Linked DNA regions of Schizosaccharomyces pombe. The gene in region 2 interacts genetically with the main gene of each other region. Each region holds a gene or a part of one and is shown on either strand. Other genes may lie near its edges. The genes, in order: ark1 and sst4.

Region 1 (9,792 bases), on a different chromosome or scaffold from region 2:
GCATGAGTATTGATAATCCATATATATCCTTTCGTGACCTTCACGGAACAAATTTGGAGAAAGCCTTGTCAAGTCTACTTGCTTCACAAAAAAAGCAATTTATTCGAAATTTGGCCTTGCTGGACATGGCTGTGGGAAAGCAGCGTTCAGTGAGAAAAGAGAAGAAAAGAAATCCAGAAGAAAGTATTTATTTTTCTACTATTCTGCTTAGGGAAGAAACTAAATCTCTAATATCTCCTAAAAAACTCCCCGGCTACTTGGAAAATCTCTTTAAAAGTGACTCGGATAACATTGTTGTTGCCTTGCTATTAATGCAACACAAAATTTCTAATGGAAACTTTCGTGGTGCACTATCTATCTATCAAAAGCTCCGCACAAGTTTGGAAGCGTCTCAAAGTTTATCGGTTTTATATTCTCCGGGCTTGGTTGGATTAGGCGATGCATTACACTATAAGATTCAATCAACAGGTTTTAAATCCCAATTACTACATGAGGCTGCTAACTACTGGAGAAAGCAACAGTCGTGTGAAGCTAAACTTCTTCTTTGTACTCGGTCTCTTCTAGCTCACCTTGATGAAAGAGCTCCAGTGAGTACTATTCAAGATGATATGAGTGTAATTGATGATTTACTTCAATGGAAGGGCCCAATAAGCGAATTAGTTTCTTGTAAAGTTGCTGCTCTTTGCTATCTGGATAAGGAAATTGAATCTGGTATGGATAAATACCTTGTACCCACTAAAGATTTAATTACAGGAATTGACGTGGACGACATTGAAATTAGAGGTGTTCCTGTTTCGGCAGCTATAGGGCCTATTAAGCGTTCTGTAGAAGCGAATTCGTCAAATTCTAGTAAAAAGACTCGGAAGAGAAGAAAACCCACCCCTAAAAGCTTCAATCCTAAGGCTACTCCAGACCCTCAACGCTGGATTCCTAAACGGGATCGCACCAATGTCAAGATAAAGTCGAAGGGAAAAAGCATGCAAGGTGGTGTTGCATAATTGTTGATAGATCTTTAAAATATTATTTTGTGAGCTTCAAATTAATGATGTAACCTTTTTCTCTATGTCAAAAAAAAAGTTTTTAGATATGTAGATATTGTGCTTAAGTCATTCTCATGAAAATGCTCACTTAAATTCTTATAGCGTCCTTACTCATGACCTAGTCACATTACTTCGTTATCTCGCTTCAATTTCTCAAATTAATCCTTTCTTCGTTTGATGTTTTGCAAAATTTTTGTATGGCTGTTGCATAAAGATTACACGAGCTATAATAAAACAAAGGAACCAACTGAAGAGAGTGTGATTTTATGATAGTAATTACAAGCTGTATTTTTAGTATAAACCATCTAGTTTAATTCAGTATTTTTCTTTAATACTGAATACGATTTTAACAGCAGGTTATACCGAGTCAACTTCTCTTATACATCCGAAGCAAAAGTCGAAAGATGCTAGGCTATTTTTAGAGGACGAAAAATACTTGCATAAAGTAATAAAATCAATTAGACTTAAATCATATAAATAAAGATTTTGCTCGCACACCGGTACATAATTTCATTTCAATTTCAAGCTACTAGTTAATTGTTTTAATTTTTAATGCTCGAGGCAATGAAAAAAAGATGGTTATTTATTGCCGGCGCATTTGCCATAATAATAAAATTTCCCTTTAGATAAGCTCATATTATATTTTTTTGAAACTAGAAAAACCACACAACCCAAAATGCCAAACCAATACGGTTGCAGTTAAGCCCAAAACCTCTTTAACCTTACAAAAGTATGTAAATGGAACTACTTTTGTTTAAGCATAAAGTCTCTTTTTTTATTTAAAAAAAAAGAGCACCAAATTCAAAAAGATAAGATTCGCCGCGAACCAGAGACCTTATTCTTCCTGCACACTCTACAAAATCAAAAAAGGAGAATGTACGTGAAAGCAAGGCTAATTATATTTTTTAAGCAATGTTTTCCGTTCGTACTCTAAAAAAGAGTATCTTCATCACGAAGATATTCACCAACATCTGCTTGATGGAAAGCAACAATAGCTGTAGGCTCAAGGCGTCGCAATTCAAGAGTAGAGCGAGCAGTTACACCAAAACCTAAAGGAGTGTCATTCATGGAATAAATAACGACACCTTGATGTTGAGGAGTGTCATCTGTGATTCGACCCACGTGTGCCTTCAAAACATGATTGCCATAGAGGAACGGCATTTCACCATTACTTTTAACCCAAATTTTATAGCGAGCGTATTGGGCTATGTAATCTAAAGCAGTAATATGCAAGCGAAATTTGTTTGTCTTGGTAAACTTGCCAAAGCAAATACCCAACGACATCAGATTTTGGCGAGCTACAGATGTAGCCATTTTCATTGCACGTTCACTATAAGTATGTTAACTTGATTGAACTAAATAAAAAAAAAGAATCACTCCGTCCTGCACTTTATTTGCGCTAAAATATTTGTTTCAATTGAAAAGGTCATTTTTTAGCGTAATTTTTGATATTAGGGGTAGAATGAATGGTGGCCATATTCAAAAATCTTACCTAACATAATAAACACGATCTTTTTGTAAACGAAAGCAATGAGGATCATCCGGACGGTCTATTAAATGAGTAATATTTTTTCCAATGCTAGTTTTACTAGTCAGTAACGCAATTACAACGTAGAAAATAACATAAATATTTCTTGTAGAGTATTAGAAGTAAAAAGTAATCCCAACACTTTATAAGAAACTCGATGGAATGAAATATTCCAAACACAATGAAATAGTGCAATGAACTTACTACTGAGCCAATTTTTCAAAGAAAGTCTTTGTCTCTTCATGAGTTAAAGGCCTCATTGTTTCAGTATCTATAAAAAAGACCCTTTTTTAAGATTTTTTTGTTTTAGGTAAAGAACAGAAAGAAACGTTTACTGCTTCATTCGAAGTGTAAGCTACCGTATAACACAAAGCGCAAATTATTTTACGCTATAACGTATAACGAGTACAATTTCTCTTAACTACGTTAAATAACGTTATAAACTGCAAAACTTTTGCGTTGTACTGTTTTATGTGAAAGAGCTTGCAATCTGATACACATAGCAGGGTTCAGCAGACTGTGAATAGGAAAAAAAGTCGATACTCCCTCACTTTGCAGTCCATGGGCTCGGAAAGGGTGTAATCTTTCTTATATATTTACGAAGAACTTCACTAGTGTTTTCCCTCTGTCGATCACTATTTTCGGGGTTTCGCCTGTTCATGCGAATTGCTACTCAACCACCTAATGTTGTACAGGTAAAATTTATTAATTGACATTTATTAGAGATATCGTTTGTTGTCTCCATAAACTCCTTTGAAGGCCTTTTTATAAGAATTAAGGAAACGTGCATTTAGATATGAGCGAAGATCCACAAAGTTGGTCGAAAGAGAGGAAAAATTGTGAGCGCGTAAAGCGCGCTTTAATGTCCCAATCTCCAGTAATTATTTTTTTAAAAACTGCCTTGGATCGTTTGAATTGCAACATTGAAGCTAAAGACATTTCTTGCCAGCCTTGTGATGCACAAAGTACTGGAGGTTACATTCCCGGTAAAGGGATAGTTCTGTGTGAAAACAGACTTTATACTAAAAAAATGGCAGAGAATACAATTGCCCATGAAATGATACACATGTTTGACGACCACAGGTTTGAAGTCGATTGGAACAATTTGAGACATCAGGCTTGTTCAGAAATTCGTGCTAGTAGTATGAGTGGTGAGTGTCGCTGGACCAAAGAACTTCGTTTTGGTAACATTAAAACTTTTCGGAAGCATCATCAAGAATGCGTCAAACGACGAGCTACTATCTCCGTACAAGGTAACCCGAATTGTAAAAGCAAAGAGCAAGCAGAAGCAATCGTTGAAGAAGTGTTCAATTCCTGTTTCAACGATTTCAGGCCTTTTGAAAAAAGTACGTTCGCTGTAGTTTTGTTCATTCATTTTTTTCTTCGTACTAACTATTCATTCTTTCGTCTAGTCTATTGAAATACCAGTTTACAAAAGTCAGATAGTTATTATGTCAACTCCCTTCCCCTCCCATTTTATAATATCCCGTACAGCATTTACGTTGGCTTTTAAAAAATATCGAAGCATACTTCTCACTTGTTATGCAACTTATTATGTGCTTGGCGTACTTTATCTTTATACATATTGTAACAGTTTTTTTGGAAGTTATTATTAGCTTGGCTAAAGTGATGATAAATTTTTAAATAGTTTTTATTAGGAAAATGAATGTCTTCTAAGTGATTTCGAAAAGAAAATCTGGAAAACGATTAGTTTATGGTGGTGATCCTCTATTAAATGAGTGTGTTATATTACATATAATTAAACCTCCATAACCCCCAAAGATCAAAAAAGTTCTGAAGGAATATAGTGAGCTGCGCGATTAAAAAGAGCGCTGAAACAAAAAGAAAGTAGTAATGCAAAAATGTAGTGAGAAGAAGGAAAAATTAAATAAAAAGTACCAAGATGGCGGTTAGGAAGATTCAGAACTTTTGCGAGTCCATGAATCTTTATATTTTACAATCCAAGGGTGCCTCATAACTTGTTCCAAACTCATTCTTTTTTCAGGATTATGCTGTAATAGACGAGAAATAAGATCCCGTGCATCAGGAGGAACAAAGCTTGGAATTTTTAAGTCAACTTTGGCGATACGCTTATACGTAGCTGAATGACCAGACATGTCCTCAAAAGGCGGTGCTCCCACCAAAAACTCATAAGTTAAGACACCCAACGACCAGAGATCAACTTTTTCGGTATGCTCTTTTCCCTCCACCATTTCAGGTGGTAAGTAATCTAATGTACCACATAAAGTGGTACGACGGTTAGAAGGTGCATGGACACTCCAACCAAAGTCAGAAAGCTTGATTTCTCCATCAATTCCTAATAAAATGTTCTCAGGTTTGATATCACGGTGTATTACATGCTTCTTATGCAAGTAGGATAAGGCGTTAGCCATTTGGAAGATATATTTAGACGCAACTTCTTCTGAGAATCGTTTTGCACGACGCAAGTGTTGATACAACTCACCCCTGCCAGCAAACTCTAAAATCAAATAAATCCTTTTTTCATCATGAAAGTGCCCATATAGCCGTAAAATGTTTTTATGGCGAAGATTTGATTGAATCTCAATTTCTCGTCGAACTTGCTTTTCTATCTTTGACTGGACAAGTTCAGACTTATGCAATGTTTTGAGAGCCACAATAAACCCGGTCTTCTTCTCTTTAGCTAGATATACCCTTCCAAACTTTCCTTTCCCTAAGGGTTTTCCAATTTCAAACATTCCAATATGAAATTCTCGCCATTGAGGACCAGCTGATGAAGGTACTCCAGCAATTGGCTCTTCTATCTTACGAAGGGAAGAATTGAACTTGCTATTTGAAGTCCGTTTGTTTTCCTTCCCATTTGCTAGACTAACATTATTTACTTGTCGTTGGTTTGATACTGCAAGTCGTAAAAGCTGTTGTCTCCCAGGATTAGCTGTGGTTGATGGAGTTGACACAGAAAGGCAATTCAAAGAATCTGCCAACTTTGAATCTGACATTATTTCGTAAAAAAACGCTGATGTTGGCTTTTGACAAGTTCGTCCAGAAGTAGGAGCGTTGTTGTTTACATTTTGAGGTAACACCATGTTTACTGAGTCTTAACACAGCCTGCTATTATCTTCCTTTCTTTCAAACTAAGAAGGAGGCTCTGATTCCCGTTGTTATTTATGAATACTCAAAGGGTGTTTCAAAGATTATTTACATGGAAATTATGAACGAATTTATTTAGCATACGAACCCACTTCGATTCTACAAATGTTATTAAAAAAAACGACATGTATCGTTCTCAACAAAATAAATAAAAGGAAAACAAACAGAATATTCTATATCATCCCAATACCACAGGCTTAAAAGTATATTTAGTATCTGTTTTTTATTCTTTTCAATGTGTCCACTGTTTGTTTACCGAATAACGATATACAGTGAACTATTCAATACTAGTTATAGAATACTTACAATATTAACGCTTCAGAAGGAGACAGTGCTAACTAACAAGAAAAGAAAAGAATTCAGTAAGTAGAGTAACACCAAAAGAAAAGGACCGAAAAGTGAATTAACAATTGTAGTTGATAATAAATTATCGTATTTCTCAATCAATTTAGAAAAGTACACGATAAAAAATCTCCGTCAGGGGGAATCGAACCCCCGCCGCATCGGTGAGAGCGATGAATCCTAGCCACTGGACCATGACGGATTATATAATTCTGCGATTGTTTTAGCATTAATTATCAGCTTTTTCATTCTTGATTAAGATTTCTCATAAAAAAAAAGAACTCTTTAGTAACGAGTTATATGCATAGTAATGTGAAAGTCAAAACACCGTTTGTTGGATATTTATTTCTAAACTGATTTAAGCTGCAGTCAAGTCCATTGCTGAGCAGATACAGTTTACAGAAATTAACGAGGCTTGGTTCAAACTATTGATATATTTAACCAATGCTGCATGACTGTTCATCACGCTAAAGGTAGAAAGACGTTACTATTCTGGCACTCAATGAGTCGAAACAATTGTTATACATGCATTTTCGTTATATTCTATGACACTCTTAACAGACTGTTTCTACATCTTGAAATTCTCACTATATAATGTTAACATTTATTACAGAGGAATACTACAAATAGTGATTAGCATTATACTCGCTATGCTACATGTCACTGTTTTATGAACTAGCAAGTTGGAGCTCCGTCCTGCTGTTTCATTTCCATTTGGTTCTAATTGTGTAAGTGTCTTTACAATTGTCGCCTATAAATTCGTTTCCGAGTTGGGCTCGCATTTTTTGACCTTCTTTTCATAGTAAAGATAAGATAGCGTTACAGTTGACGGTTCTCTCTATAAATGATCGAGAGCTCTGCTTGATTTGACATCTCTCATTGTCGTTAAATTCTTCAGTTTGCATTTTAAGACTGAATAGTTTACAGAATAAAAGGATATTTTCACTCTTTTTAAATTTTTAAAAAACTACGACAATGAGCGATAACCTGGTGCTTCCTACCTATGATGATGTTGCTTCAGCTAGTGAGCGAATTAAGAAATTCGCCAACAAAACCCCAGTACTCACGTCGAGCACAGTAAATAAAGAGTTTGTGGCAGAAGTGTTTTTTAAATGTGAAAATTTCCAAAAAATGGGTGCTTTCAAATTTCGCGGTGCCCTTAATGCTCTTTCTCAACTCAATGAAGCTCAACGTAAAGCTGGTGTTTTGACGTTTTCTTCTGGTAATCATGCTCAGGCCATTGCACTGTCGGCAAAGATCTTGGGAATTCCAGCAAAAATCATTATGCCACTCGATGCACCCGAAGCCAAGGTCGCTGCCACGAAAGGCTATGGTGGTCAAGTAATCATGTATGATAGATACAAAGATGATAGAGAAAAGATGGCCAAAGAAATTTCTGAAAGAGAAGGTCTTACCATTATCCCTCCTTACGATCACCCCCATGTACTTGCTGGTCAAGGAACCGCAGCTAAGGAACTGTTTGAAGAGGTTGGCCCTCTTGATGCACTTTTTGTTTGTCTCGGAGGCGGTGGCTTGCTTTCTGGATCAGCACTTGCTGCTCGCCATTTTGCTCCAAACTGCGAAGTTTATGGAGTTGAACCTGAAGCTGGAAACGATGGGCAACAGTCCTTTAGGAAAGGATCTATCGTACATATTGATACACCAAAAACTATAGCCGATGGTGCTCAAACTCAACATTTGGGTAACTACACGTTTTCCATTATAAAAGAAAAGGTCGATGATATATTGACTGTGTCCGACGAGGAACTAATTGACTGTCTTAAGTTTTATGCCGCACGTATGAAAATTGTAGTCGAACCCACTGGATGTCTTAGCTTTGCGGCAGCGCGCGCTATGAAGGAAAAGCTAAAGAATAAACGAATTGGTATCATTATAAGTGGAGGAAACGTAGACATTGAGCGTTATGCCCATTTCTTATCACAGTAATCATAATTATCATCTTTTTGATCAAATAAAAACCGTTATTTAACTGCTCTTACTTTTCGTGATGCTTACATGCTGCTAAATTATGGAAATGAGCCTATCTCGCAATTGATTGTTTGCGTATAATGAAGCAACATTTTGCGTTAGGAAAGGTATATAGAATTGAATGCTGGACAAAAAATTAATTCCTTTTACTTAATCTTTGAAAAATACCCTAGACCAATAAATAACAAACAGCAAGCGCTACGTTTCACAATTCATTAAATCCCACCGAATCACTGCTTTGACAAGTAAGTTTGCGATAATTCTAACTTTTATTATTCTTTTAATAAAGAATGTTTTAAACCTAGTAAACTTGCATTTCAGTTACAAATGTACTTAAAACCAGGTTTTTATTACTAGTACGGGATCATTATATTTGTATTATACAAATATTGCAGCAGCTGCCAGGTTCTGCTATTTAAAATAAACGCATTGTACTCCACCGAGTCACTAACGCATTTAGCCCTTTTACCAAATTAAGGCGTAAATAAAAATTGAACAGGAAGTGAGTCTTAAATCCATTAACGAGTCCGTCCGTAGTTAAAATATGAGGTTAGGGTTTGTGACTATTTTTTGAAATACGACACAACACGATACACGAAAGTTTAGAGGAATCGACCACGAACTACTAGGAAAAATGAAGGTGGAAGTTTGCTCATTTTCTGGATCCAAGGTTTATCCCGGAGCTGGAAGACTCTTTGTTCGTGGAGACAACAAGGTTTTCCGCTTTGTCAACAAGAAGTCTGAGAGCCTTTTCCTTCAACGCAAGAACCCCCGTCGTTTGTCATGGACTGTCCTTTACCGTCGTATGCACAAGAAGGGTATCTCTGAGGAGCATGCTAAGAAGCGTACTCGTCGTACCGTCAAGCACCAACGTGGAATTGTCGGTGCTAACTTGGATGTCATTAAAGAGAAGCGTAACCAACGTCCTGAAGTCCGTGCTGCTGCCCGTGCCGCTGCTTTGAAGCAACGTAAGGATAAGAGGGCCGCCTCCGAATCTGAAAAGAAGGCCATCAAGGCCAAGTCTGCTGCCAGCTCTGCTCGTGGCCAAGCTATTAAGAATGCCAAGGTTGCTGCTCGTCGTTAGTTAAAAATAAATGAGATGTTTCGATGCTTTGGTTTAATCATTGGAGTCTATACTTGTACAAGTAGAGTTTTTTTTTTGTTTGTATACCAAGTGAAATAGAAGTTATGCACTATTGTAGCAGGCAGTGTTTAAAGTGGTACAGTATTGATTAAGCAAATTGCATATAGCAATAAAAATGGTTGATATTAATTTCGTCAATATTTTCAGTCATCATGTTAGCATCTGTAAGTAAATACGACTTACTCTTGTATAGCAATTAATGAGAGTCATGTCAATTTTATCTGTTTTGCAATGACTAAAAGCAGTTTTTACGTGAAGAAATATATACATAAACGCATTGATTAAACTAAATAAAGGAGTAATCTTCATCAACAGCAGCGCACTCGTTTGGTTGATGTTCGATGGGACATTCTAATTGCTTCAATATTGACTCGGACTCGCGTTCTGGGCGACAGTCCAACTCAACCCATTCCTCCTCCTCTGTTGCTCTAACTATGTGAGTGGTGGAGACTTTTGGTGCTTCTGTATTTTGTTTGGCAGTAACCTGCACTGCGCGAATGGGTCCACGTGGGGTAGACGTACCAGACGAAGAATTTGAAGGGCCAGCAGCAGCCTTTAACTTTTGTGTATATTCATTTACATGTTTCATTGAGGGCCTCAGCTGCGTTAAACCGCGCAAC
Region 2 (10,323 bases):
AAACTTCCAAGTCAAATGGTGTAAACTCATTTATACACAATTTATAGCATTCAAAAACCATGTGGAAAGGCATCAACTGAAATTTAGTAAGTTCAGAAATATAACGAACAATAAGCAATCTAGTATCGTATTCGTGCTTAGCTTTTCGATGAATCATCCTTTTGAACGAATGTCTTGCATGATCTACCAATGAAGTGGAAAACTCTGATGAAAGTTGAGAAAGAATACGTGCTAATCGAACATAATAAGGAACAAGGAAAGACGATGTCCTAGGGATAGTGCACAAAGCCTTTATAAGTCGATTCCTAGATGCCTTTGTATTTAAGTCGTAAAACTCCAAGGCCATTTCATTCGTGAGTTCTAAGGAAACCATGGAGGGTAATTTTAGCAAGAAGTTATCAACTCTTGAGCTTACTTGCGTTGTATTTAGATCGCCCGTTGAGTCCTTAAGATCATCTTCTTTTTTATTGTTTTCAGATGAAGAACGAATACCTTCCTGACTGGATTCGTAAATGCTACTTTTCATTTCAGCTATAGAACCTTCATTAAAATTTGGGAACACCTCGTAAAAAAAATATTGCTCTCTATCATCCCAAACTTGAGCCGTTTCAACATTGGCAGACTCACTCCTTTCGCCTGATGCATTAAACACGCTATTAGTTCCAGAGGAAGCCTTTTCCATAAAGTTGAGTTCCAAGAGATCTTCGGAAGCTTTTCTATTCAATACTTCTGAAAGAGAAGCATAAGAAGAAAATTCAGACTCGATCGATTTTGAAAAGTTAGCAAGGCGCTGGAATTTTTCATTGTTTGGATCTGCCCTTATAATGCTTTGCTCTTGATATTGTTTGTTTAATTCTTCAAAAAGAGATTTTCGCTTTTGGCAGTAGACCTCTAATTTGTCTACGTAGGAATTCAACGACTTTCTTAAATAAGTCCTCCACACAACCGGATTAAGGCGATTAACTAGTTCTAAAGTTTCTTTATCTTCAAAATCCTCTGTAGTGAAAAGTTCGCAAGAAAAAGTCCTCACCAAAGATGTCAAAACCGGTAACAAGAGAAACCCAAATCTTGTGTCCATAAGGTCATTGAATAGCAGAACCACCAAGGGTTTTTTTAAATTTTGCTCTTCAAACCATGGCTTACGAAACTTTTTATCATTCGAATCAGTAGAAGGTAAATAAGAGACGAAATCCTCAGGAGTGCCAACAACACCATTTAACCAAAACTCAATCAAAAACCTAAGGAGCGGTCTAACTTTGAGTAAATGAGAGGAACGGTCCTTTTCGGAAACTTCGTTTTCATTTTGCTTTAGTTCAAAGTATGATTCGTGACACAATGAGTATCCTGGGTTTGGGTATAAAGCACAGTATAAGTTGGCCAGCATGGGTCCAGTAAAAGCCGTGGAAAAACGCAGATTAAGAGCCCAAACAATTTTGACTGACGACAGTATGTCTTTAGTAGCTTTACATTTCATCATTCCTTCTACGATGGCGGCGGTAATTTCAGGAATGAACTTTTTCAAAGACAGGGTTTTTATTTCCTTTATAAAGGAATCGTAATTTTCAGAAGTTAATGAGGACTTACATCTTTTCATAAATGCTGTATTTTTCTTTAGAGAAGAATCCAGCTGGCTCTCAGTATGAAATATATTTTTGTCACCATCTTTGGCTCGGAAGGCAAGCTCTCTATTATCCAAATATTGATTAAGTTTTTTTATTTGTTCTTCTCTTGACATAATTTAACGAAATTGCATTGAAAAGCACTTCAATTCTCATATCTTGTTTAGAACACTAGTCGACGATAGTTGGCGTAAAGTGAGTAGATAAATTTGACACATGTCCTCTTCCACAACGAAATAATATTGTAAAGTAACTATGGCAAGTATCTTAAATTATACTGGTTTTTTTTTTTAAAAAAGAATAAACAGTATTGGATTATATTTTAGTTGCATAAATGCTATATTGTTGCTGCAGTTTCATATATTAGAGGAATAAATCAATTGGGGATGATTAGAAGCAATAGGAGGTTTGTGCATTGGTACAATTTAAACATAATTTGTTAGGCATGAAGAATAAAACAGTTAATACAGGTAGATGTATGCATCATCTTGATAAGGACCTTTTATGATTGACGAAAATATATCTACGGTTTCCACTTTTACGCTTACTGTTGATGTGTAACAATCTTAAATAAAAAGGAAAAAAAGGTAACAGTAGCAATTTATTGAAGCTATTAAGTGTGCTAACAGAAATTCAATACAATTGTTGATACTCAGAAAGGGTAATTAAGCAATACTCAGAAAACCATGTATTGCCTTCGAATAAATAAAACACTTTTATAAATAAATATCATATTCAACAAAAAATTGCTCAGATCGTTAAAACATTAGTCTAGGATACGAGAAATGTTTCTCTCCTTGTAGGTAGCAGCCTTTCCAGTATGATCGTTCAATATTTCATAACGAGTCTCCTCTCCGCTATCGTTTTTAATCACCTGCTGGATAACTCCTGTTGAGGTGCTGGTACCGCTAGGGCCACCAATCTTAAACCATTTGTTAATACTTAATCACAGTCGAAAAACTTCAAGACACAATTCGGTACACAAAATACAGTGTACTTAACTGACATGCCTGAATCAAAAATTCCTACTTACAGGATGGTATTCGACTTTGTTTCCTTTAGAATATTTGGTCATTTTTTAAACGATATGAATATTTATGATTTTAGTATGCAAACCTCCAAATTATATAGTTTTTTTATTATGAAAGTGGCAACTAAACCTCTTAAACAATTGCACATAATGTTGTCGTGAGTAAGACGTAAACCATCTAGACGTAATCAATGCCTTTGATAATTTTTGTGTGAAATCTGATACATGCAACCCTGCAGTACAACGTAGCACGTTTCATCACTTCGTGAAGACACATGGATAAATCGTTCATCATCCAACACTTCCATTTGAGAAGAAGCGGCGATTGACATAACTATAGTGAACGTAATAAATTGTGATTGAAAACCAAGTTAGTCTTGTTTTTTTACGTGGCATCGAAGTTATATCTATAGAAATGTAGTATAGAAAAAAAATGTGTGAGATTGAAAGATAGATAGATATTAATTCATTCCAACTTTTAAAACAATGGTAGTTTAGCGTAACGATTTTTCGTCATATTTACTCATCAACGAGAATAATTTTTCCCATTGAAAGTTATCTGGATGAGACCGGAGTTCGCTCATGAGGTTGCAAATACGAGGTTAGATTAAATCGACTTTCTCATTACTACCAGCATAAGAAAAGTGATCCTAAGCATTTTTTAAAACATTAGTGAACTTTTCGAATCAATGTACAGTGTTCCTACTTCGCACTTTAAAAGATTTAGTTGGGTAGGAAAAACAATGTCAATCCTAACAGTAATTAAACGGATGTAGAATTTGGAAAATCGACAAACATTGTCATAGTCAACTTTTTTATATGAATGTGTTTCCAATTCCCAATATTCTGGGTTCATACAAGGCTAATCCTTCATCAATAAGCTTCAATTACCTATCCTTGTTTATTATCGAGCATTTTCAGAACCTGGTAAAAGCTTCTAAAAATTCAAAAAATCGGTCACTCTTTTTTTTGGTTCGTGAATTATATTTTTGTTTTGCTTCCCCTAAAACGTTTGATGTGAAAGTTAAATAATACGGATAGTAAATTTTCTAAAATATCTCTTCTTCTGCCTTCAGCTACTTGGCTGTTTGGATGGATAAGTTATAAACCAATTAAATTTTTAGAAAAGAATATTTAACTATAGTAGTATACTTAGTCGGATAAACCTTTTTCTACTGTAGTTTAACCAACAATGTTTTACAAAGATTTTCAGTGCTATAATGCGATTAGGTTGTAAGTGTAATTTTATTTAAAAGTCTAAACTTATGATCATATTAAAATACGCACATTTCGTATATATACGTGCTCAGTTGATTAGTGAAGACGAACATATAAATGATGAACGCTATAGAACAAAAAGTATTAAACTGAGACAAGTGTTTGCTACACAGTTTGGTATCCGATTTAAGGATACGTAGAACTGCGGTGAGTTTTCCTTGTGGTCTATTATATTACAATACACAGGTTGTATAAGTAGCAACTGAGTATAGGTATTGTATTAACTGGGTTATAATGTTACCTATCACTAATATAGCTCATAACTGAACTGAGGAACGAGGTTCAGCAGTAGCTCTATTTATAGTATTCAGATAATATTGATCTTAATAGATTATCATTAAGATCAATCTCCATATCGTATCATACATGGTACGATATATAATTAGAACATGTGACATATAGTGATACGCAACGTAGTGTATCATAGCGTAGTGTAGTATTGCTGACATTAGTTCGCGACCTATCCCCATGCAAAAAATATTTTCGGCATTAGTGTTAAGAACGAGGTGCATACAACTTTCGCATTGCAAACAGCTAGTTGCATACTGCAAGTGTAATTTTTTTTAATTTAATAATTTAAGATGCTTCGTCGTGCTGTTAGGGAAAGAAGACAGTTCATTTATAAGAGAAATCAAGAACTTCAAGAAGCAAAACTCAATGAAAAACGACGTGCATTAAGAAAAGCATTGGAAGGTAACAAAGAATTGAACAAAGATTTGCAGGAAGACAGTCAACTTCAAAAGGATTATAAATATGATGAAAGCAGAGCAACTCAAGAAGAGACAGAAACCAACCTTGACGATGAGTACCACCGTCTGGGTGAGAGGGAGCCAAAAGTTTTAGTTACCACCAGTCGAGAGCCCTCATCTCGTCTAGCGCAATTTGCAAAAGAAGTACGTCTCTTGATTCCCAACTCATATCGACTCAATCGTGGTAATATCGTTGTCGGAAGCTTGGTAGAAGCCGCTCGTGCCAATGATATTACCGATATAGTCATTTTGCACGAACACAGAGGTATCCCTGATGGTCTTGTAATTTCTCATCTTCCTTATGGTCCTACCTTGTCATTTTCTTTACATAACGTGGTTCTTCGTCATGATATCCCTAATACTGGTACCATGTCAGAAGCGTATCCACATCTTATTTTTGAAAATTTGACTTCAAAGTTGGGAAAGCGCGTTAAAACAGCTCTTTCTGCTTTATTTCCTCCAGACCCTAAAGATACTACACCACGTGTGGTTACATTTGCTAACACTGATGATTATATCAGTTTCCGTCACCACATTTACGCCAAAACAGGCCCAAAGCAGATTATTCTATCTGAGGCTGGTCCTCGCTTTGAGATGAAACTATTTGAAATTACCCTCGGCACCGTTGATATGGTAGACGCTGATGTGGAATGGAAATTGAAGCCTTACCAGCGTCACAAACGTGATGTTTTAGCTGAATGAGCGTAGGTATGATGGGTATGGTCAAACGGTTATTTTAGGTTCATTTGGGATACAGGTAAATAATTACAATTCTTTTATGTATAGGCAAGGCCATTAGAGTGAATGGTATCTTTGATAAATAAGGAGGCAAAACTTTCTAGTATTAGTGGTTAATGGTTATACTATTCAAAACATTAGTGAAGTAGAACATATATCAGTAGCGATTGTACTTGGGTTCCTTTTTTATATTTTAATTAGTTTACTTGAGCAATGTTTATGTACAGCTTAAAGTTTAAGCACTGTATTTGTCTTTTTAAAAATACCAACCTTTTAACTTCGGACCTACGTTATTATGGTGAATATTCCAACCAAATGACATTCCATATTTTTCGCTAAACTTCTATTTTTTTGATTTCTTGATTTTCTTCTTCTTGTATTGCTTTTCAACTTCATCAATTTGGGCATCGGCAGCTTTTATTAGTTTTTCAGCAAATTCCGGATCGGTAATTTCTTTGCGTGAATATTCAACTATCGAACATTCATTTACAAGGACGGGTTGAGTAATCGAAGCAAATTCGGGACTGCAAATAGCATGAAAAAATGATTGAGCACCATGAATAGTACCTTTCAGAAGAAGCCACCAAAACGGCCAAAGTAACAAATAAAGAAATAATCCCCAAACCTTTCCAAAGGATACAACTCTTCGAAATCCTGGAGTTCGAACGACACCTGGATTTGCCATGATGGTATGTAAATTACACGGCATTTTGTCAGGTCGTTCATGAGCTTCAGCTTTTTTCTGAAAATCATAAAGATAAGTCATCAAGGCAAGTTTGGCATTTCCCACTACCTTCCAGGGACTTTTTCGAGGATATGGATGATTAGATAAATCAAGATCGTTGAAATCTATATTACCTAAAATATATGATGAACAGGTAGCTGCAACAATTCGTACTTCCCTGTGCCCGGGCTGACCATATATAACTGGGCGGAGAATCCTAAGTAGCTGGTATGGACCTAAGAAATTTGTAGCCCATTGCAACTCAACACCTTCCTCGGTAGTTTGCCTATCCATAAATGGAGGCAGTAAAACTCCACTGCACAAAACTATCATATCCAGCCTACGAATAGGAGTGCAATCAATCCACTTTGTAGCGAACTTCCTAACAGATAACATAGAGCTCAAGTCACAGACTTCAGTATAAATTAGTTGGTTTTTTGTACGCTTTCTAAGGTCCATTATGTAATCTACAGTAAATTGATCTGGCTCTGTACGAAGTAGAATAACAACTTGAGCTCCCAGAGAAGCTAATTTCTCTACGACAACTTGTCCTATTCCAGAACTTCCCCCAGTGACCATGACTACCATTCCGTTCATTTTACGCTCCCAAGTTGTTGTTCGTCCAGAAGTCCAGAATTTAAAGGCCGCAATTGTTGAAACCGCAATCGCAGCCTTTGTATATTGAGCCCAATGTGTAATTAGATGCTCATACTTAAATTGTGCTATGTGAGCAATAATTGGAATAGGCATATTTCGTTGATTTACAAAATCTGTTGATGGAGTTGGCAAAAGGCAGCTACATACCACTGACATTGAGGTATACTAAACTCGTCTTCATATTTAATTCTTAACAATCAAAAATTTAAAACTTTTTTTTATACAATTGTTTTAACTTTAGATGGATTTAATTGTACAATTATTTAATCGCTTGACTGCTAGTGCATATTACTAATAGCAACTAGCTCCATAAATTTGACAAAGATAGGATTGAATTGTTTTTGTATATATACATAATGTAATTTATGGACCGTAAAACAGATTGCTTACAAATTGGAAAGTAAAATAGACTGTTTATATGATATATATGTGAAATTTGAAGATATACTAAATACTTGTTTTAACATAGGAAAATTAAGTATGTGTATACTACAACATTTGACATATTATTTTTTATAATATTTCAAGAAACACTGTGATAGTATATAATTCGCATAGCAAATATAAATTATTACGGTCTGTCTTATTAGCACCTACCAGAAGTACAGCACTCAATGGTGAGGTATCGTTTTCCTTCTTTGCTTATTTATGGTACCTTCAAAAAGGCTGAAACTACATTGCACGCTTTAGCTTGATCTACCTAATGAGTCTATAAACATCATCGATATTTACGACAATTAGTGTTCTCTCAATACTTGCTTTACTATATTTGCCGCTCTGCACTATCAACCGTTATACCGAGATGTGCTAAGCTGCCCGCACTATTACTTAGCAAGTTTGAGCCACGAACAATCTGTTATTGCTGTCGAGAACCAAACTCTTTCTCAAATTGAATTTTATTGGAAAGGAGGATTTACAATACATTATTTTGCCATAATTTCAAACAATCAGAAGAATTGTGCCAAAGTTGTTATACTTCACCTGCTGCTTTTGTTTATTAGGAATTTTTGAAGGCCATTGGTTATTTGTTTGGTGACAATTTAGCTTACAAATAATAAAAAGATTTCTTTTGTTTCTTAATTTCGGTTTTTCTTTTCTTCTCTATTTTCATAACGATGTCTCGGTGGTGGAATTCCAATTCTCAGTTTGCTTCCGACATAGAAAAGGCTACATCGGAAACGCTTCCTGCTGGCTCTGAAGAAATTTCATTATATTTAGAAATTTCTGATCAAATACGTAGTAAGTCTGTTGATCCGAAATTTGCTATGCGTATTCTTAAATCCCGAATTGATCATTCGAATCCGAATGTTCAAATAATGGCATTGAAGTTGACAGATACCTGCGTTAAAAATGGGGGTTCCGGTTTTTTATTGGAAATAGCTTCTAGAGAGTTTATGGATAATTTGGTATCTATTCTACGATCTCCTGCAGGAATAGACGAAGACGTTAAAATGGTCATTTTACGATACATTCAGTCTTGGGCTTTGGCAGTTCCAGATACCAATTCTCCACTTAGTTATATTATTCATGTTTATCAAAATTTAAAAGACGGTGATTATGAGTTCCCTGAGCCTTCTCAGAACATTACTAGCAAATTTTTAGATACTGAAACACCGCCCGATTGGACAGATAGTGAAGTTTGTCTTCGTTGTCGTACACCTTTTACATTCACTAATCGTAAACACCATTGTAGAAATTGCGGTGGCGTGTTTTGCAATCAATGTTCTTCAAAAACACTTTCTCTTCCTCACCTTGGAATTAACCAGCCTGTTAGGGTATGCGACAGTTGTTATTCATTACGTACGAAACCCAAAGGTTCCAAATCAAGAGCGCGAAATGAAAGGAAATTCCATGCGAAGACTAGAAAGACACCCTCTAAACCCGTAACTAATAATGAAGACGAAGATATCAAAAGAGCTATTGAGCTTTCCCTCAAAGAAATGCCTCAATCACGAGAACCTCCATCTTATGAAAGACCTTCAGAGGCCAATGTAGTTATTAGTCAAGACCAACATCTTACAGAAGACGAAGATGAAGAGCTTAAACGTGCTATTGCTATCAGCCTTGAGGAAGCACAGAAGTCATCTCAAAAGGATGACAATGTTACGGCACCTAACAATATGAATATTTCTTACCCTAGTGTTCCAGCTCACACCGTTTCAACTGATATTCGATCATCTCCTTTCTCTGGTAGGCCGAGTGATAATCCTTCTACTTTAATTTCTACTGCGGATGCTGATAACATCACTTTATATGCTACTTTGGTGCAAAAGTTAAAAAAGCTACCACCTGGGTCTATTTTTACGGAATATCAGCTACAGGAACTCCACGAAAATATGGGTGTTATGCGAACTCGTATGATGCGATCGCTTGGTGAAACAATGAGTAAATATAACGGGCTAATTCAAGCTTTGCAAAAGCTCCAAACTTGTATGCGATTGAATGATGCTCTAATAGAACAAAGACTTTCATCCACGTATGCACATCATTATATTGATTCTAGCATGGATTCAAACCGATCAATTGAACCTGAGCCGGATGTAATTAGCACTGTGAGGAATAGTTCAACCATTCCCCAGGCTTCGTCTTCTTCTGTCCCGAAAATCGTTGTCGATTCGTCTCCGGTAACAGAAAATCCCCCTAGTCATTCTGATGTGATGGGTCAGAAAGATACTATCTCCAGTTATTACTCGACGGATACAGACGTTTCTGCGAATGTAATGGGAAATCGACACGATGAAGTTGTATTTTCTGACACCGCATCTGGTGAAAAGAATACAAAATTAAATATCGATGAAAGTACCAACTATTATAATACTGATTCAATCGATAAAGTTGGAGAGCCTTTTGACGAAATTTCCTCTGGTTATGATGATTTAATGAATGGCAATGATAAGCAAGGTAATGATATTCCTGAAGTTCAAGAAGCATCTTTAATCGAGCTTTAGGTTTTAAACATCTTATAATACATATTAAATACTTAGATCAATTTATCGACAATGCATGTCTGTTTACGATCCTTTTAATATTTTTTTGTTTTTCAAAATTGATCAATTGTAACCTAAAATTCAGAATGGTGAATACATACGTAAACTAAACTAATAAACGACTATAGACTCCGAACCTGGGTAGTTATTTGTAAATCAAGCGCTCTCAGTCTCCACAGTTGCGGCAGAGACTGCTTCATTTGAAAAAGCCTCCTTGGAGTTTTTCCAGTCAACAGTTGAAGCATCAAAAGGTGAAAATTTGAGGTAACACATATCTTGAGGAAATGTCGTAGCGAAAATCATTTGAGTATCAGAGTCAGGGGTTCTTTTATGTTTCCAATCAAGCATGATACTGGCCTTTCCAATGCAAGCAATTAAATGATTAACGGCATAACGCTGGCCCAAACATACATGAGGACCATTACCAAAAACCATCCAATTCTTAGGACTTTGCTCGGCAAGACCATTTGGTGCCCAGCGGTCAGGATTAAATGTTTCTGGCTCTGGATAAACCTTAGAATCGTGAAGTGCACCATAGAGG

The links.
Region 1: of sst4 (region 2) and ark1, extra expression of one impairs growth in a mutant of the other (dosage growth defect), as found in Schizosaccharomyces pombe (one study listed by BioGRID).

Annotation. Positions count from the first base shown.
Region 1 is NC_003421.2:137,416-147,207, reverse strand, and holds ark1 (Aurora-B kinase Ark1), read right to left. Parts: upstream 5,579-9,792; 5' UTR 5,547-5,578; coding exon 4,479-5,546; 3' UTR 4,170-4,478; downstream 1-4,169. Other genes in the region: signal recognition particle subunit Srp72, read left to right, coding at 1-998; nip7 (RNA-binding and ribosome biogenesis protein), read right to left, coding at 1,971-2,370, 2,533-2,619, 2,773-2,828; peptidase Atp23, read left to right, coding at 3,365-3,914, 3,981-3,988; serine racemase Sry1, read left to right, coding at 7,015-7,986; rpl2402 (60S ribosomal protein eL24), read left to right, coding at 8,663-9,112; DNA-directed RNA polymerase III complex subunit Rpc37, read right to left, coding at 9,459-9,792. UniProt on the Schizosaccharomyces pombe protein: Component of the chromosomal passenger complex (CPC), a complex that acts as a key regulator of chromosome segregation and cytokinesis.
Region 2 is NC_003424.3:2,470,209-2,480,531, forward strand, and holds sst4 (ESCRT 0 complex subunit sst4), read left to right. Parts: upstream 1-7,662; 5' UTR 7,663-7,910; coding exon 7,911-9,743; 3' UTR 9,744-9,823; downstream 9,824-10,323. Other genes in the region: nonsense-mediated decay protein Upf2, read right to left, coding at 1-1,735; protein prl65, read right to left, coding at 2,386-2,541, 2,653-2,694; U3 snoRNP-associated protein Imp4, read left to right, coding at 4,509-5,378; pbr1 (putative dehydrogenase), read right to left, coding at 5,758-6,888; C-22 sterol desaturase Erg5, read right to left, coding at 9,939-10,323.